Linked DNA regions of Oryctolagus cuniculus. The protein of the gene in region 1 interacts with the protein of each later gene in a biochemical or structural test. Links are inferred from orthologs where the notes say so. Each region holds a gene or a part of one and is shown in the gene's direction. Other genes may lie near its edges.

The links.
Region 2: the proteins of MAPT (region 1) and TUBB3 form a complex in vitro, tested with the Homo sapiens proteins (3 studies listed by BioGRID, with this or other methods). The link is inferred for Oryctolagus cuniculus from reciprocal best matches to the Homo sapiens genes MAPT and TUBB3.
Region 3: of the proteins of MAPT (region 1) and CDK1, one has a biochemical effect on the other in vitro, tested with the Homo sapiens proteins (2 studies listed by BioGRID). The link is inferred for Oryctolagus cuniculus from reciprocal best matches to the Homo sapiens genes MAPT and CDK1.
Region 4: the proteins of MAPT (region 1) and APOE form a complex in vitro, tested with the Homo sapiens proteins (2 studies listed by BioGRID, with this or other methods). The link is inferred for Oryctolagus cuniculus from reciprocal best matches to the Homo sapiens genes MAPT and APOE.
Region 5: of the proteins of MAPT (region 1) and SRPK2, one has a biochemical effect on the other in vitro, tested with the Homo sapiens proteins (2 studies listed by BioGRID, with this or other methods). The link is inferred for Oryctolagus cuniculus from reciprocal best matches to the Homo sapiens genes MAPT and SRPK2.
Region 6: of the proteins of MAPT (region 1) and MAPK11, one has a biochemical effect on the other in vitro, tested with the Homo sapiens proteins (2 studies listed by BioGRID). The link is inferred for Oryctolagus cuniculus from reciprocal best matches to the Homo sapiens genes MAPT and MAPK11.
Region 7: of the proteins of MAPT (region 1) and AKT1, one has a biochemical effect on the other in vitro, tested with the Homo sapiens proteins (3 studies listed by BioGRID and IntAct). The link is inferred for Oryctolagus cuniculus from reciprocal best matches to the Homo sapiens genes MAPT and AKT1.

The regions. Positions count from the first base shown.
Region 1 is NC_091448.1:17,309,887-17,314,660, reverse strand, and holds the start of MAPT (microtubule-associated protein tau), read left to right. Parts: upstream 1-1,785; 5' UTR 1,786-1,960; intron 1,961-4,774. UniProt on the Homo sapiens protein: Promotes microtubule assembly and stability, and might be involved in the establishment and maintenance of neuronal polarity.
Region 2 is NC_091449.1:69,472,085-69,475,185, forward strand, and holds part of TUBB3 (tubulin beta-3 chain), read left to right. Parts: intron 1-2,134; coding exon 2,135-2,243; intron 2,244-2,651; coding exon 2,652-2,762; intron 2,763-3,101. UniProt on the Homo sapiens protein: Tubulin is the major constituent of microtubules, protein filaments consisting of alpha- and beta-tubulin heterodimers. Microtubules grow by the addition of GTP-tubulin dimers to the microtubule end, where a stabilizing cap forms.
Region 3 is NC_091446.1:53,166,696-53,170,786, forward strand, and holds part of CDK1 (cyclin-dependent kinase 1), read left to right. Parts: intron 1-842; coding exon 843-999; intron 1,000-2,683; coding exon 2,684-2,807; intron 2,808-4,091. UniProt on the Homo sapiens protein: Plays a key role in the control of the eukaryotic cell cycle by modulating the centrosome cycle as well as mitotic onset; promotes G2-M transition via association with multiple interphase cyclins.
Region 4 is NC_091449.1:11,763,898-11,768,033, reverse strand, and holds APOE (apolipoprotein E), read left to right. Parts: upstream 1-1,336; 5' UTR 1,337-1,379; intron 1,380-2,109; 5' UTR 2,110-2,147; coding exon 2,148-2,190; intron 2,191-2,478; coding exon 2,479-2,653; intron 2,654-2,950; coding exon 2,951-3,671; 3' UTR 3,672-3,760; downstream 3,761-4,136. UniProt on the Homo sapiens protein: APOE is an apolipoprotein, a protein associating with lipid particles, that mainly functions in lipoprotein-mediated lipid transport between organs via the plasma and interstitial fluids.
Region 5 is NC_091434.1:139,290,365-139,294,455, forward strand, and holds part of SRPK2 (SRSF protein kinase 2), read left to right. Parts: intron 1-299; coding exon 300-387; intron 388-600; coding exon 601-688; intron 689-4,091. UniProt on the Homo sapiens protein: Serine/arginine-rich protein-specific kinase which specifically phosphorylates its substrates at serine residues located in regions rich in arginine/serine dipeptides, known as RS domains and is involved in the phosphorylation of SR splicing factors and the regulation of splicing.
Region 6 is NC_091442.1:123,217,329-123,221,951, reverse strand, and holds the start of MAPK11 (mitogen-activated protein kinase 11), read left to right. Parts: upstream 1-1,462; 5' UTR 1,463-1,529; coding exon 1,530-1,645; intron 1,646-3,184; coding exon 3,185-3,314; intron 3,315-3,592; coding exon 3,593-3,651; intron 3,652-3,735; coding exon 3,736-3,847; intron 3,848-4,373; coding exon 4,374-4,403; intron 4,404-4,485; coding exon 4,486-4,533; intron 4,534-4,608; coding exon 4,609-4,623. UniProt on the Homo sapiens protein: Serine/threonine kinase which acts as an essential component of the MAP kinase signal transduction pathway.
Region 7 is NC_091451.1:46,976,181-46,980,271, reverse strand, and holds part of AKT1 (RAC-alpha serine/threonine-protein kinase), read left to right. Parts: intron 1-2,508; coding exon 2,509-2,637; intron 2,638-4,091. UniProt on the Homo sapiens protein: AKT1 is one of 3 closely related serine/threonine-protein kinases (AKT1, AKT2 and AKT3) called the AKT kinase, and which regulate many processes including metabolism, proliferation, cell survival, growth and angiogenesis.

The DNA.
Region 1 (4,774 bases):
CCGCGGGCTCCCAACACAGGACACCGCCCTGGGCAGGCGGAAAGAGAGCCTAGATCACCGGGGCCTCGAACCCAGGGGGCGATCAGAGGTTTGTGGCATTTTTGATCTGGCTAAGGGCTGCAGGGTGGGTTGGCACAGGGAGAACGTGAGAGCAGAGACCGACAAAGGCTGCACACGTCCAGAGCCAACAGAGGCGTCTTGAACAAGGATCTGGGCGGTTGGAAGAACAAGTCAAGGCCAGAAACTCAGACCCTGTGGCTTCAGAAATTCGTTCCGGGGCCTGCGCTGTGGTGCAGCAGGTTAACGCCCTGACCTGAGGCACCGGCATCCCATTTGGGCGCCGGTTCTAGTCCCAGCTGCTCCTCTTCCAATCCAGCTCTCTGCTATGGCCTGGGATAGCAGTGGAGGATGGCTCCTGCGCCCACCTGAGAGGCCCGGAGGAAGCTCCTGGCTCCTGGCTTCAGATCAGTGCAGCTCCAGCCATTGCAGCCATCTGGGGAGTGAACCAGTGGATGGAAGACCTCTCTCTGTCTCTACCTCTCTCTGTAACTCTGCCTATCAAATAATAAATAGAATAAATCTGTTTAAGAAAGAAAGAGAGAGAGAGAGAGAGAGAGAGAGAAATTCGCTCCAAGAAACTGCGGGATGCCGCGGGCCACAGGAGTGCCTGGGCTCTGCTCCACCTTCCAGCTTCCTGCCGGGCACACGCTCCTTGGGCAGCTCACCTACCTGGGTCCCTGCCACCCAGACGGACGTCCAAGCTCCTGGGCCAGCCCTGGCTGTTGCAGGAATTTGGGTACAGAACCAGATGGAAGTCAGTATCTTTGTCTCTCTGCCTCTCAAAAATGAAAATCAATGATATTTTTTTTTTCAGTTAGCCCCAGCTCCATCATCTACCCGCTGCTCCCAATAATAATTAAACCCGTGTGAAGACAGGATTTTCACTGTTTGCTTTTTATATTAATCCAAAAGCATACATCGGTCTAAAAAAGGAGCCATGCAAGGAAAGGCTGAGTTCAAGCCCCCGTCCGCGAGGGTGAGACGGCCGCCCCTGCCCCTTTCTGTCTCCCACGTCGGGGCTTCCTCGGATGCTGGGGATGTGTGGACTCCCAGGGCAGCCGCAGGTCAGCTTCAGGCTGCCGAGAGCCATCCCGGCCGACGGTGCCCTGCAGGCACTGGCAGACCCGCGTCGGAAGCTGCACCTGCAGCCGCGGCTGCGCTGCGATCCGAGCAGCCGTTCGTTTAAAAACGAACCCGTAACAGTAGCACCACGACACGGATCGATGAAGCAAAGAAGTGACCTTGTTCAATGACAAAAAAGGGTGACAAGCAGCAAGGAGACAGGCAGCGGGGCCGGTGACCTCCAGCCGGGAGCGCCTTTCGGGGGGACCCGGGGGAGAGGCGCGGAGGTCGCAGGTGCACGGAAACCCGCCGCGGGCTCCCGACATAGGACACCGCCCCGGGCAGATGGAAACCAAAAGGGCAGCATGGCAGCGCGCGTTCAGCTAGGGGCCGGAGGGAGGAGACCCCCCAACAAGACAAAGGCTGCAGCCGCGGGAGGCCTAAAGTGCGCGTGCGCTACGGAGCGCGCGTGCGCGCGGCTGGCCGCGCCGCGGCCCAAGACGTGGGGGAGGGGACTCGGGAGAGGAGTGAGCCGGGGGCCGTGGGCGGGCCGCTCGCGCGCGCCCCCTGGCGGCCGGAGGAGAAGGCGCCCGCGGAGGCCTCGCGGCCCGCCCCGCCCCTGGGGTGGCTCGTGCCCCCGCGGCTCGCGCCTGCGCCTCCGGTCGGGCTCGGGGACGCGCCCCCTCGCCCGCGCGCGCGCGCTCGCAGCCACCGCCACCCACCGGCTCCGGCACCAGCAGCAGCGCCGCCGCCGCCGCTGCACACCGTCTGCACACCGCCAGCGCCGCCGCCTTCCCTCGGCTGCCCGCTGCAGTCCTCGCCGTCTGCCGACTACCAGGTAAGCGCCGGGACTCGGACACCCGCCTCCCGTGCGCTCCGCAAGCCGCCGCAGCCGGAGTTTAATGCCCACCTGCGGCGGGGGCTGGGGCCGGGCGGCGTGGACCGGGGCGCGTGTGTGTGCGTGCGCTTGTGTGGCTGGGGTCCCGGGCGGAGGCTGTGCCCGCAGGGTGGGGCGCGGATGGTGGCCTGGGGGAGGGGGCTGCGCTCTGTCCTCCATCGCAGCCTTTTGCCGCAATGGGCGTGTGTGTGTGTAGGGGGGAGTCCAATGACGACCCCCGAAACCGAACCTCAAATTCGACTTCTCTGCCGCTGTCTGCTGAGAACAAGACCCGGATCGGGTTCTCGAAAAGACGATGGCTCGCACACCTCCGTGCCCGCACCTCCCCGGCGGCGCCCTCCTCGCCGCCCCCTCCTCCGTCCGTTCCTCCTTCAGAAAGCCACAGGGGACATTTGGGGGCTGGGAGGAACCCGAGAGATGGGGAGGGGGCCAGGCGCTGTCATTCCAGCCGCCCTTCCCCCTGCGCGCGCCTGGCACGGGGACTTGGGCAGCGCCGCGCCCGAGGAGAGATGGTGCGTGGGTCCCCGCGGGGACGCCCTCCGAGGCAGGCGGCCCCGGGCCGTGCGACGTGGACGGACTGCGGGGCCGCGGCTCCCGGCTCGCGGGCGCGCACGGCCGCAGCCCTGCACAGCCGGGCGCGGGGGCTGCAGGTGCCTTTCGGGGCGGGTCCCTTTCTCTCGCTCTGCGCCGGGCGCTCCCTGCCGGAGGCGCGGGGCTGGCGCGCAGGGCTCGCCCCTCACTGCGGCAGTGGGTGTGGACCCGGGTGGGCGGCGGAGGGGGGAGCAGGCTGTGCCTCCTCCCACTCCCACCCCTCCCCCGTTTTTTCCCTGCCGAACGCGAGGTGCCATCTTTTTGCGGCTGTCACGTCTTTCTGTTCCCAAGCCGAGCCGGGTGGTCGGGCTCCGCGGAACGGGGCACGGACTGGCCTTGGGTGGGGGGACACCATCAGCCCCGAAATCGCGGCGTTTGGATGCTGCGGGAGTGAGCGCGGGGGTCGAGCACGCGGAATTTTCTTCGACAGCTCGCTGCTTTGTTCCTAGAGCTTACGTGATCCGTGCTCGCGGCCCCGTCTGGGGGTTTCTTCCATTCCACGAGGGCGTTCAGCCAAGACTCCTAGCCCCCTCGTTTCCCACCCTTTGTCGGCTCTTGGTGCTTGCCGGGGGTCCATGAGCCCTGGTCACGAGCCTCCGGGGCGCTGGTGGAACAGCCGCCACCCTTCCCGGAGGTCAGCCCCACGCGGGGGAAGCGCCCTCCCTGCCCAGGGGGGTGGGATTCGGGGTCTGGGCGCGCCGTGCACCTCCCGAGGCTGCCAGCGTCCTGGGGGACACGCCCGCGCGGCTGTCCGGCGATGGGGGCGCGCTCGCCGCCGGCGTCTCTCCCGGCTTTACGCCCTGTTGCTACGCCAGGCTGGAGAATGTCAAGAGGGGGCGTGAGGTTCCCTCGGGCGCCACCGCCACACCCATTTTTTTCCAGACCCACCGAGCTAGCTGAGTGGGGAGTTGCCATGGGAACCGCACGCGTCCGGTGACGGACCCTGGCGGCGTCGCCCCGCCCCCTCCCCGCGGAAATTGGGGACCCAGGGCGGGCCTCGAGATGCGCGCGCTGGGGAGTCCCCCGTCCCTGACCTGTGGCTCTTTCTAATTAGTCCCCGGCGGCCGCAGCCACCCAGACAGGCGTCCCGGATGTATTTTATTATCTTGGCTGGGCTAATTAATATTGCTAAGTGCGAGATTTTCACTTAAGAGTCGGAGTTCGTCGCCGCATTTGGCAGTGAGACGGGGGTATGCGGCCACCTCCCGGGTGATGGCTTTCCGCTTTATTCCAGCGCTGGAAACTGGTGTGGGCGTGGGGCTCCGAGAGCGATGAGCGTGGTCGGGCCAGCTCGTCCGCGCAGGCCTCTCGGGTTCCGCTCCTTGGAACAGCCTGGCTGGGGTGGAGCGCCCGCAGGAGCCGCCCCGGACTGAGTCAAGCATCCTTTTCCCCCAGCCCTTCGCCCCTCGGCAGCGCTGGGGCGGCCCGGGAAAGGGGGAGCCCTTTGCAGCCCCTGGGGAGGAGAGGGAGCCCGGCAGGCACAACACCTTTAGCCCGGTGCCATGGTCCGAGATTTCGCTCCGTTTTGGGGGGCTTAATGGTGTCACCCCAGGACCTTGAGGGAATGCGCAGCGCCCAGCCCCCGCGGTGGTGCCTAGGGACACTCACCCCCGCCCCCTAACGGCTCCAGCAGCGGGGGGCTCTTTTCCCTCCCGGGAGACCCCGCTTACCCCCTGGTACTCAGGAACCTGTAGCTCCAAGTCCTGGCCCAGTGCTGGCTCCCCCTTGGGACAGCGACACTGGCCGGCCCCTCCCCCACCCTGCCCCCTCCACGCCCATACTACGGTGGAAGAGAAATGTCTCTCCCGCTTGGCTGATTCTGAGCTGTGTTTTATGAATTTCCGGCCCCTCATCTCTAACCCTCCCTCTGAGTACAGAAAGAAATGTGTGGCTGGCTGGAGGGGGAGAGGAGGGAAAGCCCCCCCCCCCAGGTCCACAGCCACTCATGACGCTAATCCACCCCCTGGCGTTTGCCTCCGTAACAGGTGTGTTTGGGGCAGTAGCCTGGCTTGGCTTGGGGTTCACCTTGGATGATTTGGGAGGGTTTGTTGGCTTTGCTGGGTGTTGGTGAGTGACAGTCGGTGGCTTGTGTGTCCCTGCTGGCCCAGGCCTTCTCTGCACACGCCCACCACGGAAGGGTGTGGCTTTTAAGTGGTTTCTAGT
Region 2 (3,101 bases), on another chromosome or scaffold:
GGATTTCTTTCCTATTTGATTTGCCAAGTTACGTGTTGTTCTTGGACGGGTTACTTATGGTTTACTGATTTTATTTTAAGTTACAATTTTTAAAAATTTCAACCACAAAAGCAACTATTAATGTATTCTGGAAAAAAAAAATGGAGCAAGCGCGGAAACCTGGAGTTTAAAATTCCTCTCTCTGAGCAGGAACACGGTTTGGTTTTGTTTTTTATTCTTCCAGCCCATTTTGCTTAATCTGTCTGTACATGTGCCTTTAAACTTTAAATAGTACCTAGGGCCTTTTATTTAAATATTTATTTATTTTAAAGTCAGAGTTACAGAGAGGGAGAGAGAGAGAGATCTTCCATCCTCTGGTTCACTCCCCAGATGGCCACAATCACCAGGGCTGGTCACGGCCAAACCCAGGATGCAGGATCTCCCACGTGGGTGCAGGGACCCAAGCACTTGGGCCATCTTCTGCTGCTTGCCAGGCCACAGCAGGGAGCTGGGTCGGAAGTGGAGCAGCTGGGACCCGAATTGGCACCCCTATGGGTTGCTGGCACTGCAGGTGGCAGCTCCACGCCACAACGCCACCTCCACCTAAGGCCTTCTAAGGAAATGAAGACAACGTTTGCTGATTGCTTTTTTCCTGGCCTTTATGCTGCTTATGTTCATGTGAGCACCATTATCATGTCTTCCTGAGAAGACTAAGGTCCAAGGAAGAGGGGGCTCTTGCCCACAGTGTGGCTGGCGCAGGGCTGCAGCCCTCGGCCTCCTAGGAGTCCCACGCTTCACGCTCCGCCAGGAACTGTCCCTCATGCACTGGCAGCACAGTGGCTGAGCCCATCCCCTCCCCAGGGACTGGTAACTGTGGGTGTTCCTGATGCCAGGATTTTGAAGTGCCCAGGGCTGTGCGGCGCCAGGCCCCTGGCTCAGACAAGCTGCCAAGAGCTGCTCGGAGGGCTCTCGGGCGGGTTCAGGGGGCCAAGCAGCAGGGGCAGGCCTGAAAGGCCTCTGTGACATTCCCAGGTGAAAATTCTCACACTTCATGCAAGAAGAAGAGAGCTCAGCAGTAATAACAACGCACAGAGGGGGAGGCCTCTCTGCAGTGTCTTTGTGTGGTAATCGCATGATCACATCGCCCGGTCTCTTCAGATCCATTACTCCCTGATCCCTTTGGAGAGCTCCTGGGTGCATACGACAAAGTTCCACCCGGTGAGAAGCAGCCTCTCTGTCCCAAGGACAGCTTTCTGTGACTGTCAGAGACGGCCAGACAGGGCAGCGCGCTCGGTTCCTGCAGTGGCCTTTTCACCAGGACGTGACTGAGGCCGTTGGCTGCGCTGAGGCCTGCGTGCCCAGTGACTTATCTGACAGTCACTCTGGCCTGGGGAGTAGGGGAGTGACATGGACAACCCCAGAAGCCGCAGTGTGTGGGCCAGAGATGGCCTGTCAGAGGGGGCAGCCACCTTGCTATTCAAGCAAAGAGGCGTCCCTGGAGTGTGGCAGGCCTGCCCTTCACATACCTGGGCTCACACTTCCACACAGCGCCAGCCCCGTGCTACGTGCTCATGTGAGCTTGCGTACAGCCAAGGACATGGGGCGCAGAGAACCCCTGTGACCTGCCCAAGGTTGTGCAGCTGGCAAGGGGTGGGGCTGGACTGTGAACCCAGGCGGCCCAAGGCGGGGAAAGGTGAGCAGCAGAAGGCAGTGAGAGTCCGAGGCTCTGAGTTGCCAGGTTCCACAGGGGCAGTCTGGGGGCCACTCACTGGGACAGCCTCACAGGTCCCCTTGGCCCCTTGGCTGAGGTCATCAATGGAGTGCCGGTTTCACTGCCCCGTCACTGGACAGGGGCCACATACAGGGTGTGGCTCTGCAACCTGCTATCGCCGTGTCTCCCGCGGTTCCCTGATCTGAAAAGGAGAAACAAAAAAGTTTCTCCATGTGGTGTTTACTGCTAGCCCCTTCCACAGACCAACGGACTGACCAGGGCTCTTGCCAGCAAGTAGGTCTGGATCCAGAGAGTCTCGGTGGGCTCGTGGAGGTTTCAGGCCCGAGCCCCTGGTTCTGTACTGAGGTCTCTGAGGCTTCAGAGGGCCCTGCCGGGGGTCACGGGCCGCCAGTTGACTCTTCCTCCCCACCTCCTTTCCTGCAGTTCTGGGAAGTCATCAGTGACGAGCACGGCATAGACCCCAGCGGCAACTATGTGGGGGACTCAGATCTGCAGCTGGAGCGCATCAGCGTCTACTACAACGAGGCCTCCTGTGAGCACCCCCCACCCCAGCCTGGGCTCCAGCATCTCTGCCCTCCTATCCATTAGCCTAGGTGTCCACAGAGTGCGCCAAGCTGTTTGATGGCCCTGAGAGCAGGCAGGAAGCTTGGGTGGCTGGCTGCATCCTGAGAGGGCACGGGGGGCGTCACCCGAGGGCTTGCTGCACCAGGGCTGTTGCTGTGACAGACTGGGGAGCGCTCAGCTGCCCACAGGGACATGTTGTTCCACCCCCCATCCCTGTGTTACACTCGTGAGGCCGAGGGTAAAGGTAGATACTCAGCCTCACCAGTGCCTCCAAGCTCACCCTTGGGTCCCGTCTCTTGAGGTCAGGGAAGGATGGAGAACGGGGGCACCCCTGACCCACTGTAACCTGTGTGACTGAGCCCCTCTCTCCTTGCAGCTCACAAGTATGTGCCTCGGGCCATCCTGGTGGATCTGGAGCCCGGGACCATGGACAGCGTCCGCTCGGGGGCCTTTGGTCACCTCTTCAGGCCCGACAACTTCATTTTCGGTAAGTCCCCCTGCTCCCAGCTTTGTTGGCAGATCCAGGCCAATGCCTTCACACCCTTCAACATGATCTTGCAGGGTGAGAACTGATCTCTCCATTTTACACTGGGCATTCCATGCAGGAAGCAGGAACTGCTCACACATTTCAAGCAGAATGAGGTGAGAAAAGAAAGGAGCTCACAGAATTGTGGGAGAGCTGGCAGAACAGTCGGGGCCTCCAGGGGACTTGGGGTTTGCAAGCAAGCAGCAAGCGGCCACGGCATTCTCCTTCCTGTGCCTCATAGGTAAAGAGGGCGAGGGCTGCACCTCACTGCAGCCCTCTGACGCCCCCACATCCAACAGC
Region 3 (4,091 bases), on another chromosome or scaffold:
AATGTAGTCTACTCTCTCCTAAAGTATACTGATGTCATGGAAAGCAAAATCTGTTAAATAAAATTTTTTATGTAATTAAGGATTTCAGGACCTCCTTTAAAAAACTGATACCTCAATTTAAAAAGCACTTAGCTGGGTTACTAAGTGTAACATATGTGTGAATTTGGTTTAACGAACTAGCCAATCTATTTATTATTCTTATGTATCCATCTCCCAATATACTCTATTTCTTATATTGACATTATTACATTATCTAAAGCTTATCTATGTTTTCATCCACTTCCAAATGGGTGTGAAATTTTCCTACTATGTAGTAGATAATGTGAGCTTTATTAATACATATATAACTAAATGTCTTATTTTGAATCTTCATTGTTTTCTGGATGAGGCTTGTTGATTGTATTTTTGATGCATATAAAATAGCATGAAAAGCACAACGCTGTCTATATCAGCTACTCTGAAAATGTCAAGGCGATTCTTGTCAGTAATATTTTCGGAGTCCAAGTCTTTATACTGTTTGGGACCTGATTCATTGTTGGGTATGATGTTTGATGAGATACATTATAATTTGTGCAAGTTCTACTTGTAAATGCAGGAACATTAAATGGTAGTTTATATGTGTGGGAAACTTATGACTATGAATTTTATTTCTAAACCATATACATGATATGTTGTGTTATCCTCAGTTTCTTTTTGGAAGCAATGAGTGAATAGTTGATAATTCCTATCTGTTGATAGCAGACATTTCTATTGTATGACACCTTATGGGATTTAATCATTTAAAGAACCTTCTAGGTTGTGGGGGTGTGTCACATAGTAGAAATTTACTTTGTCTATTTCAGGTACCTATGGAGTTGTATATAAGGGTAGACACAAAACTACAGGCCAAGTGGTAGCTATGAAGAAAATCAGACTAGAAAGTGAAGAGGAAGGGGTTCCTAGTACTGCAATTCGGGAAATTTCTCTATTAAAAGAACTTCGTCATCCAAATATAGTCAGGTATGGTATATCTGAGTTTAAACCATTTTTCTACACACAATTTTGAATGAATTTCAATGTGAGAATTTTTGCATTTGCTTAATTTTTATCTAAAGTAGAAAAGAGACATTTTTGTTAATTGATAATGCTGTGCATAGGCAAAATACTATTAAAGCAGCAAAAGAGGGGCTGGCATTATGGGATAGTAGATAAAGCCATTTATGATGCCAGTATCCCATATGGGTGCTGGTTTGAGTTCCAGCTGCTGCACTTCCAATCCATCTCCCTGCTAATTCACCTGGGAAGGTAGCAGAAGATGGTCCAAGCGATTGGGCACCTGCCACCCACATGGGAGACCTGGGTGAAGCTCCTGACTTCAGCCCGGCCCCGCACTGGCTGTTGGGGCCATTTGGGAACCAGTAGATGGAAGATTTCTGTCTCTATCTGTAACTCAGCCTTTCAAAGAAATAAATAAATCTTTAAAGCAAACAATAGAGTGAAAGAATTATTAGAGAGGCATGGTAATAAGAATTAGTACTAGGTCCTGAAAAGCAAGGTAAAATAGCAATGGAAGAAAAGAAGCCCTTTTCAGAAAGCTTTAACTCCCAGCCTGGGAGCTCTAGTTTCTGGAGGTGCCTTCATCAGCCCTAAGGCAGGCAGCCAAGTTGGATGAAAAGCAGAAAATGCTTTCCTTTAAGTATTTGAATTGGATGCTTTAGGGAAGCTATGTTGCTAGTGATCTAAGTTAAAATCTAATTTAATTGCATTTTGCTAAGCTGGAGATAGGGAACAGCCCTTAAGGTCAGATAATACTCTAAAATTCCTCTGTATTACTTCAGTGGCAAGACAGCGAGCAACCAACCTAGATATGTTTTTTGAATACAGATTATTTAAGTTAACACCTCCTGTAAAATAAGAATTTTATTATAATTTTTTAAAAAATTTTAGGGGCTAGCATTGTACAGTGTGCTACCACCTGTAATGCCAGCATCCCATATGATAGCCGGTTCAAGTCCCAGTTGCTCCACTTCCAATCCAGCTCTGCTAATGTGCCTGGGAAAGCAGTGGAAGATGGCCCAAGTCCTTGGGCATCTGCACCCACCTGTGATACCTGGATAAAACTTGTGGCTCCTGCTTTGGCCTGGCCCAGCCCTGGCTGTTGGGGCCATCTGGGAAGTGAACCAGTGAATGGAAGATCTCTGTAACTCTGCCTTTCACATAAATATAAAAACAAATATTTTAAAAAAAATTTGGGAGACAGAGAAAAAAGGTGGAGAAGTCTCCCATCTGCTGGTAAACTCTACAAATGCCTGCAAGAACTAAATCAGGAGTTAGGAACACAATTCAGGTCTCCCATGTGGGTGGCAGGAAACCAACTAATTGAGCCGCCACTACTGCCTCCCTGAGGTCTGCCTTGTAGGAAACTAGAATAAGAAACTAGAGCAAGGGGTTGAAAGTGGTTATTCTGGTGTGGATCCTAACCTGGTGGTCACTGCTAGGCCAAATGCTTGCCTGAAGGTTTAATTTTAAATTATTGTCCTGAGATTTCCTTCTCAAATTCTATTTTTGTATTAAGGTTTTCTCTACTTGGGAAGCTACCAATCTCCCCACATTTTGTATGATATTCACTGAGGCTTGCAGTAGTTTTATTTTGTGATAAAAATGCTTGCTGGACTTTTGTTCATGTAATTGTTTTCTTCTTCAGTCTTCAAGATGTGCTTATGCAAGATTCCAGGTTATATCTCATCTTTGAATTCCTTTCCATGGATCTCAAGAAGTACTTGGATTCAATCCCTCCTGGTCAGTTCATGGATTCTTCGCTTGTTAAGGTAAGAGTCTTCCCATAACTTTGAATACTTAGTCTCTGTGAATGTGAAGAGACTACTCTGTAGAGGTCCTCGCGTTTTGCGGGAATTTGCTTAGAGGAAGTGTTAGTAAGTAGAATAATGAAAAAAAAATTGTTTTCCTTCCACAATTTTTATGCTTTATATGTTGACAGCCATTTTGTTACCAAGTGGTGCCTGAGATAACATAACTGTAAAGTATGCGGTTTTGGAAATTAAGTGTAGTCAGCTTTTGGGTTCTAAAATAATATACTTAGATAAGCTATTTCTAAAGGAAGGAGATTTTATTTGGGACTTATGTTCAGTATACGATTCTGGTGTTCTTGCTGGCAGTTCCAGGGTAGCACAGGGCATCACCTAGAAAGAGGGGAGCCCATAAAGCCACCATGATTTGACCATGGGGTTTCCATACTAACAATCCCAATTTTTCCCAAAAAGCTCCATCTTCAGCCACCATAATTGGATTAAATGTTTGTCCTTTTAGTGCCATTTACATGAGGCTTTAGGAACAGACATGAGGATTTAGGGGACAAGTACTATTCAAACTAATATCAAAAGCATAGCGCCATAGTCTTTCTGGTATTGATCAAATATGTGTTTAGCAAAGTAAAAAGTTCAGGATAGGATGAGGATGGAAAGCTGATCTATTTTTTTTAAAGATTTATTTGAAAGGCAGAGTTACACAGAGAGAAGGAGAGGCAGAGAGAGAGAGAGAGGTCTTCATCTGTTGGTTTACTCCCCAACTGGCTGCAGTGGCTGGAGCTGAGCCGATCCAAAGTCAGGAGCCAGGAGCTTCTTCCAGATTTCCCATGTGGATGCAGGGGTCCAAGGTCTTGGGACATCTTCTACTGCTTCCTCAGGCCATAGCAGAGAGCTGGATTGGAAATGGAGCAGCTGGGACTCAAACCGGTGCCCATATGCGATGCTGGCACTGCAGGTGGCAGCTTTACCAATTACACCACAGCACTATCCCCTCTATTTTGTTCTTTGAAAATATTTCAGAGCTGGCACCGCAGCTCACTAGGCTAATTCTCCGCCTTGCGGCGCCGGCACACCAGGTTCTAGTCCCGGTCGGGGCGCTGGATTCTGTCCCAGTTGCCCCTCTTCCAGGCCAGCTCTCTGCTGTGGCCAGGGAGTAAGGTGGAGGATGGCCCAAGTACTTGGGCCCTGCACCCCATGGGAGACCAGGAGAAGTACCTGGCTCCTGCCATTGGATCAGCGCGATGCGCCAGCCGCAGCTCGCCAGCCGCGGAGGCCATTGGAGGGTGA
Region 4 (4,136 bases), on another chromosome or scaffold:
GCCCGGTCCTGGCCGCAGGAGCCCTCCGGGGAGGGGCTTGGCGGTGCTCCCCCAGCCTCCCCGACGTCCGCTCTGCAGGGGGACATCCCGGGAGGGCAGGGTAGCCGCAGCCTGGGGGACTTTGTCCTTGCAAACTGAGGCAGCGGATGGCTGCGTGCAGACGGGGCAGGGAACTGGGCCCCCGGCCTCCGCAGATTTCCAGAAGAGGCGGGTCTGGAATTTTGGAGCCTCAAGCAGAGCTACTGGGACTGCTGCATCTGGGGCTGGAGCGACACAGTCCCGGTGCAGGGGTGCGGCCCCGCTCGCCTCGCAGGAGGCGCTGTCAGCACTTGGCCAACCCGCGCCCCGAGGCCTGGCGAGGAGGCTGCTGGGTGATGTCCCCGAGTTACCTGGGGAGGCCGCCTCCCCTGCGCCTTGAGAAACAGGGCCGACTGCCAGTGCCTGCTGCGGCTTTGCCCCCAACCCAGCCCTGGGCCTTGAGTCCCTGGGACAGCTGGGGGCAGGAGCCCATGGGAAGGTGACTGCTGGAGCGCGCTAGGCTGCCCAGGTGTGGGCCCACCGTGTGCAGGGCGCTGGCCTCGGCACGCGCCGTTCACTCCTGCATCACCAAACCTGCGGGGCGCATGCCGCTGCTTGCCTGGTTGTGCAGGCAAAGAACTGGCCGTTCAGAGAGGGGAGGTCATTTGTCCAAGGTCACACAGCTGGCAGCGCGCAGTGCCAGGATGCAAGCCCCAACAGTCCTGCAAACTGCAAGGAAGAGGACGTGTGGGTGACTCCTGGCGGGCGGGCCCACCACCTCTGCCAGCCAGGTGCTGCGATCTCAGTAAACAAGGGGGGGGGTCCCAGAGGCTCGCACCTGCACCGCCTGGGAGGGAATTGGAACAGAAACCCTGACCGTGGGACGCTGGCCTTCATCACGCTGCCCCCAGCCCTGCCTGGGCTCCTGCTGTGCCCTAACTTAAGCCGGGAGTCCAGACTCCACTCCGACTTCATTCAGGCCCTGGGGGGTGGGGGTCCTAAGCCCCATCCATTCCCAGAACCCAGAAGTTCCAGCCGGGCACAGGGAAGGCGTGCTGGAGCAGCAGCCGGCCCAGTCCCCGCCTGCACCCCAGTGGAGAGGACGTGGGACACCGAGGGAGGCGCCCCTCCCTTCCTAGGGGCTGGGGGCGGGGGTCACGGGGCCTCCAAGCCCCACCTCCTTCCTCGCCCTGCTGTGTGCGAGGGGGGAGAACAGCCCACCTCGTGACTGGGGGCTGGCCCAGCCCGCCCTGGCCCCGGGGAGGGGCGGGGCAGGGGGAGCCCTATAATTGGACCCGTCAGGGATCCCTGCCGCCCTGCTCTGCCCCAGCCGAGGTGCAGGCGAGGTTCCGCAGGAGGCGGTGAGCAGCACAGCGGGGGGCTGAGGGGCCTCCAGGGAAAGGGGGGGTCCAAGGGCAAGGGAGCGACTTGGGGACGGGCTGTGGGAGAGAACGTGGTGGCCTGTGCCTGCGTCGGGACAGAAGGACGGCCGAGCAGGGCTGAGGCTGGAAGCAGGGCTTGGACCTCAGGCAGGGACATCCCATCCTGGCTGGGGCTGGGGTGGGGCAGCAGCTGGAGCCACAGCGAGCCCTGGGGCGGTTGCTGCCACTTATTTGTCCTTCCCGGCACCCCATCTCCGCAACTGGGGTCTCGGGAAACAGGGACTACGTCCCAAGACCGACTTGTTAAAAACCGTGGTTCAATCAGCTCCTACATGGCAAGTAGGGCTTAGACGTGAGGTTGGAGCTTAGAATGTGACGGCGGGACGAGGAATGCGACATGGAACTCAAGAAGCCCAGCCTGGAGCCAGAAAGCTCGGGGGTGGGGGGGCTGGGGGAGTGGAATTCGACCCCTGGGAGAGGGAGATGGAATTCTGGCCCCGGAGCCGGCCGGAGGATGGGGAGACTGGAGCAGACAATGCGGGAGCTGTGCAGCCCCCCAGGGGCGGCTTGGTGAAATGATTGTGATCGGACTAAGGCTGTCACAGACAGGGGCCAGGGCGAGGCTTGGGGATCCTGGGCCCGGGCGCAGCCGGAGCTGGGCTCCGGGGCGGGGGGGAGGGGACCGTCCTCCTCCGCTGTTGATTGACAGTTTCTTCCTCCCAAGACTGACCAACCGCAGGCGGGAAGATGAAGGTGTGGTGGGCTGTGTTGGCGGCGGCGATCCTGGCAGGTATGGGGGCGGGGCTTTCTCGGGTTCCCCTGCTGCGCGGCCCCTGCCCGCACTCCAGCCCCCTGTCCTGGGGAGGAGGCGCGCCGAGCTGAGACCTCTGAGGCCTGCTGCGGTTCTGAGCCGCTGTTTCTCCCCCGGGCCTCGGCTTTCCCCACCCATAAAATGGGCGTTGAAGTTCCTAATGCACACAAGGCCCATCAGTGTTTGCCGACTGAGCGGAGACCCCACCCGCTTCTGCCCCCGCGGCCCGAACCCCGCACGGCCCCTGACCACTTTGCTCCCGCACAGGATGCCGGGCCGAGACGGAGCAGGAGGTGGAGGTGCCGGAGCAGGCCAGGTGGAAGGCCGGCCAGCCCTGGGAGCTGGCCCTGGGCCGCTTCTGGGATTACCTGCGCTGGGTACAGTCGCTGTCTGATCAGGTGCAGGAGGAGCTGCTCAGCTCGCAGGTCACCCAGGAACTGACGTGAGTGTCCCCGCCCTGACCAGGAGCCTCCTGGGGGGCGGCGGGGGGCGCCTCTGCACCCTCGGCCAGTCTAGATGCCTTTGCGTCCTTGGGGTCGGGGGCCCTGCTCCTGCGTCCTCTTCCCACTCCTGACTCCGGTTTGACCTCTCCGGCTGTCTCGCACCTTCCCAAGCCCCCTCCTCCTCGCCGGCTCCTCTGGGCCTCGCTTGGTCCTTGGGGCCCCTTGGTCGCTGCCAGCGTGCACCCAGCCCTGGCTCCCCAGCTCACGCCCGCCCTCCCGCCCCCTGGGCCCCGCAGGATGCTGATGGAAGAAACCATGAAGGAGGTGAAGGCCTACAAGTCGGAGCTGGAGGAGCAGCTGAGCCCCATGGCGCAGGAGACGCGGGCGCGCGTGTCCAAGGAGCTGCAGGCTGCGCAGGCGCGCCTGGAGGCCGACATGGAGGACGTCTGCAACCGCCTGGCGCAGTACCGCGGCGAGGCGCAGGCCATGCTGGGCCAGAGCACCGAGGAGCTGCGCGCGCGCTTCTCCTCGCACCTGCGCAAGCTGCGCAAGCGGCTGCTGCGCGACGCCGAGGACCTGCAGAAGCGCATGGCGGTGTACGGCGCCGGGGCCCGCGAAGGCGCCGAGCGCGGCGTGAGCGCCATCCGCGAGCGCCTCGGGCCGCTGTTGGAGCAGGGCCGCCTGCGGGCCGCCACCGTGAGCACCCTGGCCGGCCAGCCGCTGCGGGAGCGCGCGCAGGCCTGGGGCGAGCGGCTGCGCGGGCACCTGGAGGAGGTGGGCAGCCGCGCGCGCGACCGCCTGGACGAGGTGCGCGAGCAGGTGGAGGAGGTGCGGGTGAAGGTGGAGGAGCAGGCCGCGCAGATGCGCCTGCAGGCCGAGGCCTTCCAGGCCCGCCTCAAGAGCTGGTTCGAGCCGCTGGTGGAAGACATGCAGCGCCAGTGGGCCGGGCTGGTGGAGAAGCTGCAGGCCGCCATGCCCAGCAAGGCGCCCGCGGCGGCGCCCATCGAGAACCAGTGAGCGCCTCGCGGGCCGCCCCCGCCCCGCGCGCCCCGCCTCCCCGCCCCGGTGGACGCCCCCCCTTAATAAAATTCACCACCTCCACAGCAGCTGCTGGGTCTCCGCGTGATTCCTCCCATGGGGCTCAGCCTCCTTTTTTTTTTTTTTTTTTAAGATGCACTACTGGAAAGAGTGACAGACACAGAGAGCTTTCCATCCACTGGGTCACTCCCCAAAATGCCCACCACTGCCAAAGTTGAGCCAGGCGGGAGCCAGGAGCCTGCATCCGGGTCTCCCACATGGGCGCAGGGGCCTGAGCACTAGGGCCACCCTCCACTGCTTTCTCAGGCCATAGCAGAGAGCTGGATCGGAAGTAGAGCAGCCGGGACTCAAACCGGTGCCCATATGGGATGCCAGCACTGCAGGCGAAGGATTAACCTACTGAGCCACAGCGCCGACTCCCCCTACCCCAAGCCTTGTGTATTT
Region 5 (4,091 bases), on another chromosome or scaffold:
GTGAGCCGCAGCGCCAGCTAGTTTTCTGTGTATTTGAAGAGAAGTAGAAGTGTCAGAATATTTTCCATTACTCTAAGTGTGTGTGGTAACACTAGTATTTTTATAGTCTTCATTAATTAGAGAGGACAGCAAAGCATGAAAGAATTGTGTTGACCCATGGACCTCATTGTCTCTAGTGCCCACTCAATTTGAAAAGTACTGTTTTAAAGAAAGCTTGTTAATTTATCTTTGCAACATCTCAGTGTAATGTCACTTCTTCTCTTGATAATATAGGTAAATACATTTTTTCTTTTTCCAAGGGGGAAAAGATTTGTTGCTATGAAAGTTGTAAAAAGTGCCCAGCATTATACAGAAACAGCCTTGGATGAAATAAAATTGCTCAAATGTGTAAGTACTGCAAAAATGTGAATGTTGTAACAGAAATTAATGACTGAAAAAAATCTTTAAAAAGTTAATTTCTGGCTGGTACTAAATTAAAGTAGAATTTCTTTTTCCTAAGTTCAAATACTGAACTTAAAACAAAATCACCTTTATTACTGCAATGCAAAATATTCTCTGTCTTGAACTCCTCTGTTCTTGGATTTGATTGTGTCTGCACAGGTTCGAGAAAGTGATCCCAGTGACCCAAACAAAGACATGGTGGTCCAGCTCATCGATGACTTCAAGATTTCAGGCATGAATGGAATACGTATCCTTTTCTTAATTGTTGATGACTTATAATTTTTTTCCTTTAAAAAACAGGATTGTTCAGGCCCCTAAATACTCATGTTTGCTCTTACATCCCTGTCAGCACAAAGCCCTTGGGATTTTGGGAAGTGTTAGAAAGTGGTGCCCCTAGGTGGTTTGGAAGGACTTTTTGGTGTTTTTTTGTATAGTGGCATGTTAGAAACTTGAAAAGAAAACTGTTACAGCAACTTGATGTGGTTTTTGAATGAATTATTGATCTTTTTTCCATTCATTGTGGTGAACTTTGTTTGCAGAGATAGAAGCATAAAAACAACACTTCTTTGTGCTTTAAAGTCAGTGCCCAAGGGCTAGCTCTGTACATGCTCCAGGGACCAAGAAGCACCTTGTAGGGTTGGAACATTTGTTGAGGCAATAAATGGAAAAATGCTCTGTTTGTGTTGACATCTCCAGGTTGCACTTGAGTGCTGTATGTGTACGGTGAAAACTAAGGGCTGGCACTGTGTCATAGAAGGCTGAGCCTCTGCCTGCAGTACCGGCATTCCACATGAGCACCTGTGCATGTGCCAGCTGCACGTCTTCTGCTCCAGCTCTCTGTTTATGGCCTGGGAAAGCAGGGGAGGATGACCCAAGTGCTTGGGCCCTGCACTCTCATGTGAGGCCCAGATGAAGCTCCTGGTACCCTGGCTTCGTCTCGGCTCAGTTGCAGCCATTATGGCCATTTGGGGAGTGAACTAGAGGGTGGAGGACAGTTTTTTGTGTCTCCCTTTCTCCTTCTGTAACTCAACCTCTCAAAAAAAAAAAAAAAAAAAAAAAAAAAGTCTTAAAAAAGTGAACACTAGGTCGGCGCCGCGGCTCGCTAGGCTAATCCTCCGCCTTGCGGCACTGGCACACCAGATTCTAGTCCCGGTCTGGGCGCCGGATTCTGTCCCGGTTGCCCCTCTTCCAGGCCAGCTCTCTGCTGTGGCCAGGGAGTGCAGTGGAGGATGACCCAAGTGCTTGGGCCCTGCACCCCATGGGAGACCAGGAGAAGTACCTGGCTCCTGCCTTCGGATCAGCGCGGTGCGCCAGCTGCAGTGCGCTGGCCGCGGCAGCCATTGGAGGGTGAACCAATGGCAAAGGAAGACTTTTCTCTCTGTCTCTCTCTCTCACTGTCCACTCTGCCTGTCAAAAAAAAATAAAATAAAAAAAAATAAATAAAAAGTGAACACTAGCACTAATAATACAGTGGTCCTCTCTTGTCTGCAGGATATACTGTCCTGGACCCCAGTGACTGCCTGAAACCATGTGCTCCATTCTTATTTACTGATTAGTGTTTTCCTGTACATTCGCTAACTTAATGCCTTCTATTTTTTAATTAAGCACTTAGCATCCGTTTTTCCAATAATTTTGCTGGTTGAGGTGTTAACGACAAGACTGGCCTGAATGTTATTTTTCATTCACAGATTTATGGATAGAAATTGCATTCTTACCTTAGATTTTGAACAATCTCAACATGGGATTTTTTCCATTAGTGGAGAACTTTTCTTTTTTCAAGGCTTCTTTTGGGTAAATCCACATTGCCAGCATCATGACTGTAGAGCTTTGGGATGATTATTGTATAAAATAACACAAGTACTGTGATGCTGAAGCGCGATCAAGGCTGCTGAGAGATTAGGGGGCAGGCAGCATCTGTTGTGTGGGTGTTCTCAAAAAGGTAGGAGTCCCATCTCCCTGCAGGACAGTGCGAGGTGCCATCATGCTCCTTGGAACCATGGTCAGCTTAAAGCTGTTGATTTCTGGAATAGGCCATGCAGTATATTCGGACCGTGGTTCACTGCAGGCAGTGGTGCTGTAGACAGTGAAGCTGTGGTGGTGTGCAGGGGAGCTGCTGTACTCGGTTCTTTCTCTAGAATGATGCAACTGAATCTTTCAAATAATTGCTTCTGCAGAGGATCATCTTTCTGCCCTGTGAGGATGCAAGTATTTTAGTTTTAAAATTTTTTTAAGATTTATTTATTTATTTGAAAGAGTTACACAGAGAAAGGAGAGGCAGAGAGAGAAGGAGAGGTCTTCCATCCGATGGTTCACTCCCCAGATAGCTGCAATGGCCGGAGCTACACCATTCTGAAGCCAGGAGCAGGACTTCGCCCAAATCTCCCACATGGGTGCAGGAGCCCAAGGACTTGGGCCATCTTCTTACTGCTTTCCCAGGCCATAGCAGAGAGATAGATGGGAAGTGGAGCAGCCAGGTATTGAATCAGCGCCCATATGAGATCCCAGTGCTTCAGGCCAGGGCGTTAACCTGCTGTGCCACAGTACCGGCTCCTAGTTTTAAAATTTTATACCCAGTTTCTCTGCTTTGCAAAAACCTGGTAAAAATAAATTATTTTCTCTACTAGTTGGTAAATCTGGCATAAAGCAGGGGTTAATGGAAGATTATCTTTAAAACCTTTATTATGAAAAATTTAAAACATATAAAAGGAGATATTAAAATGAATTTTTGCAAATCTATCACCCAAAAATAATAATTATCAAGCTCTGGCCATAATCATTTGATTTAGTATTCCTTTCTCACTGAATTACTATCATTTGTTTTCATTTTTATTTGAAACAGAGAGAGGTGGCCAAAGTACTTGTGCTCCTGCCACCCACACAGTGGGGACCAAGAGAGTTCATGGCTCCTAGTTGTAGCTTGGCCTAGCCCTGGGTGTTGCAACCATTTGGGGAGTGAACCAGTGGATGAAAGATAGAATCTCTGTCTCTGCCTCTGTGTCTCTTTTTCTATTGCTCCTGCATTTCAAATAAATAGGGATTCTGTGTCCAATGGCCTTCACAGGAAGGTTGCTTTGGAATTTGTCATGAATCACGCCACTGTTTCCTTGAGCACAGGTTACCTTTCTCCAGATTCCTCTGGTTTTGTAAGGTTTACTGCCAGGAGTCACCGTGTTGTTTCTTTTGTATACATAAACACTTCTCTTTCCCAAGTAGAATTGTTTCATCTTGATCATAAACACCTTCAGTTTTTTTGTTAAGGTTTATTTATTTATTTGAAAGTCAGAGTTACAGAGAGGCAGAGAGAGAGAGATAGAAAGAGGTCTTCCATCCACTAGTTCACTCCCCAGATGGCCACAAAGGCTGGAACTGTGCCGATCTGAAGCCAGGAGCCAGGAGCTTCTTCCAGGTCTCCCACATGGGTGCAGGAGACCAAGGACTTGGGCCATCTTCTACTGGTTTCCCAGGCCATAACAGAGAGCTGGATGAGAATTGGAGTAGCTGGGACTCAAACTGGCACCCATTATGGGATGCTTGCACTGCAGGCGGCAGTTTTACCCCCAGCACTAGCCTCCTACACTTTGAGTTTTAAGAAGGTCTGTGTGGACCCTTTGGTTCCTGAGACCTTGCTTGTGGCAAAAATGGCCTCACAC
Region 6 (4,623 bases), on another chromosome or scaffold:
CTGCTCCTGCCTGGTGGGGGTCTGGGTGGGGGTAGGTAACCCCGAGGACCTGGGGCGGGGCCACAAGATGAAGACGTAGTTTGGGCCTGCAGCCAATGGGACGGAGGGGCCCTGCCCCCACGGAGCTTCCTGTGAACCCCAAGCAGGCTGAGCCCAGGAAGAAGCAGAGCGGCCTGGACACTCGCTGTCCCTGTGTGCGTTGTCTGAATGGTCTCCGGCCTGGTCTCGCCGCTGGGGCCTCCCCTTACGGCTGGGGAGCCCAGGAGCCGGGGTCAGGGGACTGTGAACCCCTCCTGGAAGGGGGTGACTCGGGCCCCTCCCCAACACTGGCTGTAGGGAAACAGGAACCTGGAGGCCTGGCTTCCAGGGGTCTGCTGCTGCTGTCCCCCGGGGCAGTCAGGAAAGAAGGGGCTCATCTGTGAGGACACCCCTACACACGCAAGGGACACTCAGGGGGAGGGGAAGGCTGTAGGTCCTGCCATCCACGCCCAGGTGGTCTCCACCCTCACCCCTCCCCTTAGGGATGGGAGTGACAGGACCCAGGAGCCTGGCTGGTGCCAGCGAGGGGTGAATGTTGGCTTGTCCAGGTGGCCAGAATGCCCTTCAGCCCCAGCGGTGACCAGCCCTTCCGGTCACTGTCCAATTTCCAGTGAGCAGGGGGAGGGAGAGGTGAGGATGGGAAGGAGCCACGAGCAATGCTGCTGACCTGTCCATGTCCAGAGAATGGAGCCAAGACTGCATCCTGCTTGTTCCAGACCCTCACCAGCGATTCGTGTGGCGGTGGGGAAGCATCCACTGAGTCCCCCTCCCCGCCCGGGTCTCCGAACCCCTTAGGGGCCCCAGCAGGACAGGCCCTGGACCCCGGCCAGGGTCCCAAGACCCATGAAGTCTGCATGAAGCTGCGGGTCCAGGGAGCTCGCTCCGCGTTTCACGCTGGTCCCAAGCACCCCAGCTTCACCGGCGCGCGCCGCTGGGTTCGTCTTGAAAAAGAGGGGGCGACTGGAGCCCAAGTTCCTCCCATCCCGGGAGGGGGCGTCCCGCCCAAAGCCCCCGACCCAGCGTCTGTCCGTGCCTGCGGCGACTGCCCGCGAGGCCGGGGCTTAACGGGAGGACGCCGGCCACGGGACCGCCGCGCAGGGCGGTAGGGGCGGCTCCCAGGGTCTGGGGAAGTTCGGGTGGGCTTCCCGAAGAGGCAAAAAGTACGAGGGACCCGAGGGGACTCATCTGGGGCCGCTTCTTCCCGAGCCCTGGCCCCAGAGGCCCCCCGGGTCGCCGCTGTCCCTGGTGCTGACCGGCCGCGCCCGCGGGAGACCCCAGCAGGTGGTCCGGCGCCACAAAGGCCCGGCCCTCAACCCCCTTCCGTCCCGAGAGGAAGCGCTTCCCGAGCTCCGGGCCCGGATCCCGCCGCCGCCCCGGTTTCCGCTCGGCTCCGGGCGCCCCCGCCCCAGCCAGGAGCCCCGCGCGCGCCCCGCCCAGCGCCCCGCCCCGCGCCCCGCCGCCCTCAGCTGCGCGCGGCTCCGGCTCCGGACATGTCGGGGCCCCGCGCCGGCTTCTACCGGCAGGAGCTGAACAAGACGGTGTGGGAGGTGCCGCAGAGGCTGCAGGGGCTGCGCCCGGTGGGCTCCGGCGCCTACGGCTCGGTCTGGTAGGGGCGGGGCGCGGGGCGCGCTCGGGGCTGCGGGCGTGGGGAGGGGCCTCGGCCTGCCCCCGCCCCCGGGCCCTGCGCGGGCCGCGGCGATGCGTCGGGGTGAGGGCGTGCGAGAAGCGTGCCCGCCGCACGCCGCCCCCAGCGGGGCGGGGGTCGTCTTCCTGCCGCGCCCAGTCCCGGGATGGCGCGGCCGGCGGAGGCCGGGCGCCCCGGGGCCCTCGGCGTCTGCGCTCCCCTCGCAGTTCCTGGGTTAGGGGTCGCGCGGCTCAGGGTCCGGCGGATACCCCGCCCCCGCCCCGCGCCATTGTTTGAAAACGGAGGCTCGCAGCGTGGCCTCGGAGCCCCTTGCGGGTCCTGCCCACTCCTCGTTTTCCCAGGAGTCTCGGACTCCATCCTGAGCGGGGGACCTGACGCCCGATCCCCAGAGCGCAGGTTCCAGAGCCTGAACCCAAACAGACCACGGCGGCTTGTGGGGGGCGGGGGTGCCGATTGGGCCGCGGCCTTCGCTCCAGGACAGGAAAGCCGGACAGGGCGGTGACAGACCAGCGTTGTGTAGACAGGCTGCTCACAGGTGTGGACGCTGCCAGGTGCCCCCATGGCACCCGACGAGGTCGTCACTGGCCGCTGCTGGGTCCCAGTGGGGCCGGAGAGGCTGGGGACTGGTGGGCGGGCGTGGCTGCCCGCACCTGGGCGGATCTTTGCCTGTCCCCGCAGCCTGAGGCGGTCACCTCGGCCACTCCAGCACCGGGGCACCGTCTTCCGGCGTGTGTGAGTGACCAGAGGATATTGTGGCAGGAACCCAGGTGGACTCATGGCTGGGTCTGCACATCTGGGAGTTCCGGGGGTGTCAAGTCCCCACAGGGGGACCTGGGCTTTTCTGGGCTGCACCCCAACCCTCCATGTTTGCTGAGTTCCACTGCCAAGGAGGTGACTGCGCGGGTGCCCATTCCCTGTTGCTCAGCTAACCACACAGATGCAGTTGGGCCAAAGGATCTGCCACCTCCTCTCCAGCAGTGACTTGGATTTGCCCCTGTGGGTCACAACCTGGTGATGGGGGCACTGGGGGCCTGGTGAATTTTTCTCTGCCACTGGCACCCATGAGCGTCCCACACCGGGGGCAGTCAAGTCTGGGCTCACTGCGGGGCGGGTTCTGAGGGGAAGGGAAGGGGTGCGTGGGCGGGCGCATTGGCCAGAGAGCCGGCTGTGCAAAGGGCTCCAGACCTGCTCCCAGCTGAGCCCTGATCGTGACCGAGACTGCTGCACCTGCCGCCAGGCGAGGGGCTGCTGCCGAGGGGAGGGGCGTGGGGCTGGGCAAGGCCGGCCTCGCTGGGCATTCCCAGTGTCCACTTCCGGTTGCCAGTGATGCAGCACACACTTCTGGACCTGCCCAGTCCCGGGGTAGGGGGCACCCTCTGCCCTGGGAGTACCCAGGCCTCTCCCCGAGCCGGGGCCCAGCCTCAGGGGCTCCTCTGGATCTCGGGCGAGGAGGGGTTGGGCGCGGAGCTGGGGAGGCTGCCTCACTCGCCCGCCTTCCAGCTCAGCCTACGACGCCCGGCTGCGGCAGAAGGTGGCGGTGAAGAAGCTCTCGCGGCCCTTCCAGTCGCTGATCCACGCCCGCAGGACGTACCGGGAGCTGCGGCTGCTCAAGCACCTCAAGCATGAGAACGTGAGCGGGTGCTGGCCGGCGGGAGGGAGGGCCGGCGGGAGGGAGGGTGGGGGGAAGGACCGGTGGGAGGGAGGGTGGGGGGGAGGGCGGGGGGGGTGGGGAGGGCCGGCGGGGGGGGGAGGGCGGGGGGGGTGGGGAAGCCCGGTGGGGGGGAGGGCCGGCGGGAGGAGGGCCCCGGGCCCTGGGCCAATGGGAGGGAGGGCTGGCAGGAGGAGGGCTCTGGCCTGGGGCCGAGCCCTGCCCACCGCATGCTGCCCAGCTGCTTTCCTGCCTCCCAGGTCATCGGGCTTCTGGACGTCTTCACGCCAGCCACGTCCATCGAGGACTTCAGTGAAGTGTGAGTGCCTGGCGGCTAGAGGAGCACCTTCGGCCCACGGCAGTGGGGCTCCGGCCTGACCCCTGACCCCCTACCTTGCCCCAGGTACTTGGTGACCACCCTGATGGGCGCAGACCTGAACAACATCGTCAAGTGCCAGGCGCTGAGTGACGAACACGTCCAGTTCCTGGTATACCAGCTGCTGCGTGGGCTGAAGGTGGGGGTCTCTGGGCGTGGGCTAGAGGTGGGGTCTTAGGGCCTGGGCTGGAGGTGGGGTCTTAGGGCCTGGGCTGGAGGTGGTGGTCTTAGGGCCTGGGCTGCAGGCGGGGTCTTAGGGCCTGGGCTGGAGGTGGGGTCTTAGGGCCTGGACTGGAGGTGGGGGTCTTAGGGCCTGGGCTGGAGGTGGTGGTCTTAGGGCCTGGGCTGCAGGCGGGGTCTTAGGGCCTGGGCTGGAGGTGGGGTCTTAGGGCCTGGACTGGAGGTGGGGGTCTTAGGGCCTGGGCTGCAGGCGGGGTCTTAGGGCCTGGGCTGGAGGTGGGGGTCTTAGGGCCTGGGCTGCAGGCAGGGTCTTAGGGCCTGGACTGGAGGTGGGGGTCTTAGGGCCTGGGCTGTAGGCGGGGTCTTAGGGCCTGGACTGGAGGTGGGGGTCTTAGGGCCTGGGCTGCAGGCGGGGTCTTAGGGCCTGGGCTGGAGGTGGGGGTCCCTGGGCACATGGCCAATGCTCACCACCTCCCTCCCCGCAGTACATCCACTCTGCAGGGATCATCCACCGGGTAGGTGCAGCGTGGGCGACGGGCGGCGGGTGGGCTCAGGCGGGCGCTATCCCTGCGCTCAGGCCTCTGCCCGCCCACGCAGGACCTGAAACCCAGCAACGTGGCGGTGAATGAAGACTGCGAGCTCAGGGTGAGCGACTGGCGGGACTGGGCCGGGTGGGCTGTGGGGCGAGGAGGGGCCCTGAGCACCTCTCGGTCCCCCCAGATCCTAGACTTCGGA
Region 7 (4,091 bases), on another chromosome or scaffold:
GCACAGGGACCCCCGCAGGCAGTGGTGGCCACCAGCAGGCCCTCTGCTCAATGTGCCGGAGAAGGTGAAGGCGCGGCAGCTGTCGGCAGGATGGATGTGCTGGCGGCGGGGGACCGCAGGCCTGCTGGGGCTCACTTCGCTGTGGAGAGACAGCCCGGTGCTGCCTGGCACCCTGCCAGCCTGCACCCGCCGCCGCGCAAAGTGCCAGCCCAGCAGTTTGCTGGGGACCGGGAGCGTCCAGAGGATGTGCGTGGAGGTGGGGACGCGGCTCCAGCCCGTCAGAGCCGGGCAGCGTGGACCCCGAGACTGCCCCCGGCCACGTCGGTACTGGCTGTGAGCTCGCACAGGCTGGGCCTTGCGCAGGCCCATCCTGTCCCCAAGCATTGTGTGGTGTCCCCGAGGCCAGAGCTGACCCAGGCCGGGTCGCAGGAAGCTAGCTAACCCTGTCACCCTGCTAAGGGCAGCCATCCCCTTCTCCCTGTCCCGGGCATGGTGGCCTGGAGCCTGGACAGGACCTGGGGCTCCGTGCAGCACCTCAGGGGCCACCACTGTGCTCCCAGCCCAGGGCTGGGTTCCAGGCTGTCCTGCAGGTGGGCCGGCCAGCAGTGGGGCGGGAGCGGGTCCCACCCGGGCATCTGCACCTCCTGATGGCAGCGCCTGGCTGGACCTGCCTAGAGGGCAGCTGAGCCTGCTGGAGAGGCCCTGGGTGGAGCCTGGCACCGCCACAGGTCTGAAGGGGGGGGGGGGCGCTGAGGAGACCCTGCGCTGGGCGCCAGTCGCTCCCTGCCAGAGGCCCAGGCCCCTCTGGACCTCGGGGTGGGCAGGTGCCAGTCTGCAGGTGTGCAGTGGCCTCTGCCCCCACCCTGGCGGGGCCGGGGGTCTCAGGTCCCACGTTGCTTTGGCTGAACTTAAGACGAGGGCTGTAGCCCAGGCACGGCGAGCACTGTGGGTCCCCATGGGCCTGCCTGGCCGGACGCAGAGGCAGAGGTGTCCCTCGGCCTGCTCCTGGCCCCCGTGGAGGGGTCTGTGTGCTGAGGGCAGCCCCCTCACCGACACTGGGGGTGGGGGCCCTGTGTGTGCCGTGTGGCGCAGGACCGAGATGGATTTCTGGGGCGCGCGCGGGTGCTCATCAGTCTCCCCGCTCGCTCAGCGTCCTGGGGAGCGGCAGCTGGTGGGATGGCAGGCACTCCATCAGGGGCCGACAGCTCCAGACTGGCGTGCAGGCGGGTGGGCACGGCGCCGGGCGGCCCGGGACGGGGGGGCTGTGCAGCCCCCAGAGCCCGCTCCGCTCGCCCCCTGGAGCCCCTGCCTGCCCCCACCTGCCCAGAGGGGGTGCCTGTGGTGGGCTGGAGCCTCTTCCCTGAGGGTCGCCCTTTGCTCCTGCCAGAGGCCCCGGTGGCCCCAGCCTGGCGGGGCGGGGTGGGGGCTGCCTCCAGGCTCTCCCAGGGGGGTCCTGGGTGGGGAGGGCGGCTGGCCCCAGGACCCTGCATACAACCCCTCCCAGCTGTGGGGGGCACCCTCATGAGGGGGCAGAACCTTGTCCTTCCCCCAAAGCAGCCCCCGCCGCACCTGAGCGACCGCCCCCTGCATTGTGGGGTGGGGCCTGTTAGCTGGCCTGCCCCCCTGGGCATCGGGGTGTGGCCTTACTCCACTGCTCTGGTCCTGCTGGTGGGCTGGCTGGAATCAGGCCCACCCCAGTCCAGGCACAGTAAGCACCCAGGGGTGCTTGGGGGGGCCTCTTAGAGCCCTGGGCTGTGAGGGGGGTGGCTGGGGTGCAGGTCCCAGCCCAGCCCGGGGCTTCCGGGTCCCATCTGCAAGTGTGTCCAGGACCAGGGTGCAGAGTGGCAGCTGCCGGGCACCTGGGGAGGGAGGGCCACTGCCCTGAGTGCCTTGCCCAGGGGACGCCTGCCGACCCGTGTCCTCTGAGCTCCTCTGGGGGTGGCCTGTCCCTGTGTCGTCCCCAGCTCTCAGCCCACAGTGAAGCAGCTGCCTAATTAGCAACTTCCCTGTCGTTCAGACTCTGTGCTCGGCAAAATGTAAATGAGGCGTTTTCTCGGGTGTCAGTGTGAAAAATGGCGCAGCGCGGCTCCACGGAGCATCTGCCGTGTCCCCGAGCGCCGCGGTACTGGGGGAGTCGGCCCCCGCGCCTGGACCAGGGGCTGTCCCAGGGTGGGCGGCAGCTCTGCCCTCGGCCCCAGGACTGTGCTGCTGGCCCTTCCTTGCCAGTGCCAGGCTCTGTCCTCTTGGCTGGAGGCCGGCTCAGGCCAGCAGCCACACCCTGGAGCCTGGGTGCCCGGCCAGTGCCTGAGCTGGGCACCAGCTGACCTACTGCCTCCCCCTCCAGGAAGGCCAGGTAGGTGGGCCCAGGCCTCCTCCCCGTGTCCCAGGTGTGCAGGTGGGCCTGGCCCCTTTCCGGCGCAGCGAGCCTGCCTTCCCGTCCCCCACCCTCTGCCTGGCGTAGCTGGCCAGCGACCTGGACAGGGGCCCTCACCGCCTGTGTCCTCACAGGGGAGTACATCAAGACCTGGCGGCCACGCTACTTCCTCCTCAAGACTGATGGCACCTTCATCGGCTACAAGGAGCGGCCACAGGACGTGGAGCAGCGCGAGTCCCCACTCAACAACTTCTCTGTGGCACGTAAGTGTCCCCTCGGCCACTCCGGGTTGGACGTGGGGCGGTGCCTGGAGTGGTCCGTGCCCTGTGGGACTGGGGGCCAGCCCTGGCTGGCGGGGGCCTGGGCCAAGCTGCATGGCTGTCCTGTGGAGCTGTTCCCTGAGCCTCCTGCCCAGAGGGGACAGCTCGGGCTATAGGGAGCCTCCAGGCTCTCCCAGGGGGGTCCTGGGTGGGGAGGGCTGCTGGCCCTAGGACCCTGCATACAACCCCTCCCAGCTGTGGGGGGCACCCTCAAAGCTGGCCAGTGCCACTTTTTCCCCTGCCTGGCTCCCCAGTTGTCCCTCCCACGATGCTGGCTGGGGCCGGGCAGGTCCACTGCCACTTTCTACCACCTGGCAGCCCAGCTCTGCCCTGGGGCTGGCCTGGGGCAGCTGGGGGCGATGGGCCTGCCAGCCGTGGGCCTCTGGGTTCTGCCCCTCCCTCTCCTTGGCCAGCACCCTGGGGTCCTCTGGCCCCTGGCCTTCAAGGGCCACCCAGGTTCTGGTTTGGGGGCTGCAGGGAGGTCTGGCACAGGTGGCTCGACCTGGGCGTCGCCCTGCCTGTGGGCATCTGCGTGGGGATGGGCTGCGGCACTGGCTGCTGGGTCATCCCTCCCGGGGCCCACTCTGTGCTAGAGGAGGGGCCTGGCCGTGGGGATTCCCGTGAGCCCCAAATGCCACCCTCCCCGGCCTCAGGCCCAGCTTCCTGGGCCGGAGGCCACCAAGGAGGCGCAGGCCAGTTCCCTGGAAGCCTTGCTATGCCCGCTGTGGGGGTGAGGCAGGAGGGGCCTCTGCAGAGGAGCCCATGGGGGCAGCGCCAGCCGGGGGCAGGGGGCGCTGCCTGGCCAGGGCGAGAGCCAGCGTGTGTGTGCGGAGGGCCTGTGTCCAGGGGCTCTGCCTTGTGGGAGGACCGAGTGAGCTTCCTGCCCGCACAGACACAGGCCGCCTCCCACCAGGCTGGGCCCCGGGCCCCCACGCAGCCCCTCGCCCGGCAGACCTGGCCCTCGTGGTTGCCAGGGTGCTGGTGCTGGAATGCACACGCTCCCCGGCTGTGGGCGTGCGTGCTACAGGCACACGTGTGGCAGGCGTGCGTGTTCCAGGGGCGTGTACTGTAGGTGTGCGTGTTCCAGGCGCGTGTACTGTAGATGTGCATGTTCTAGGCGTGTGTACTGTAGGTGTGCGTGTTCCAGGGGCGTGTACTGTAGGTGTGCGTGTTCCAGGCGCGTGTACTGTAGGTGTGCATGTTCTAGGCGTGTGTACTGTAGGTGTGCGTGTTCCAGGCGTGTGTACTGGACTTCCGGTCAGGGTCTCCCAGCGACAACTCGGGGGCCGAGGAGATGGAGGTGTCCCTGGCGTGCATGTTCCAGGCGTGTGTACTATAGGTGTGTGTGTGTGTTCCAGGCGTGTGTACTATAGGTGTGTGTGTGTGTTCCAGGCGTG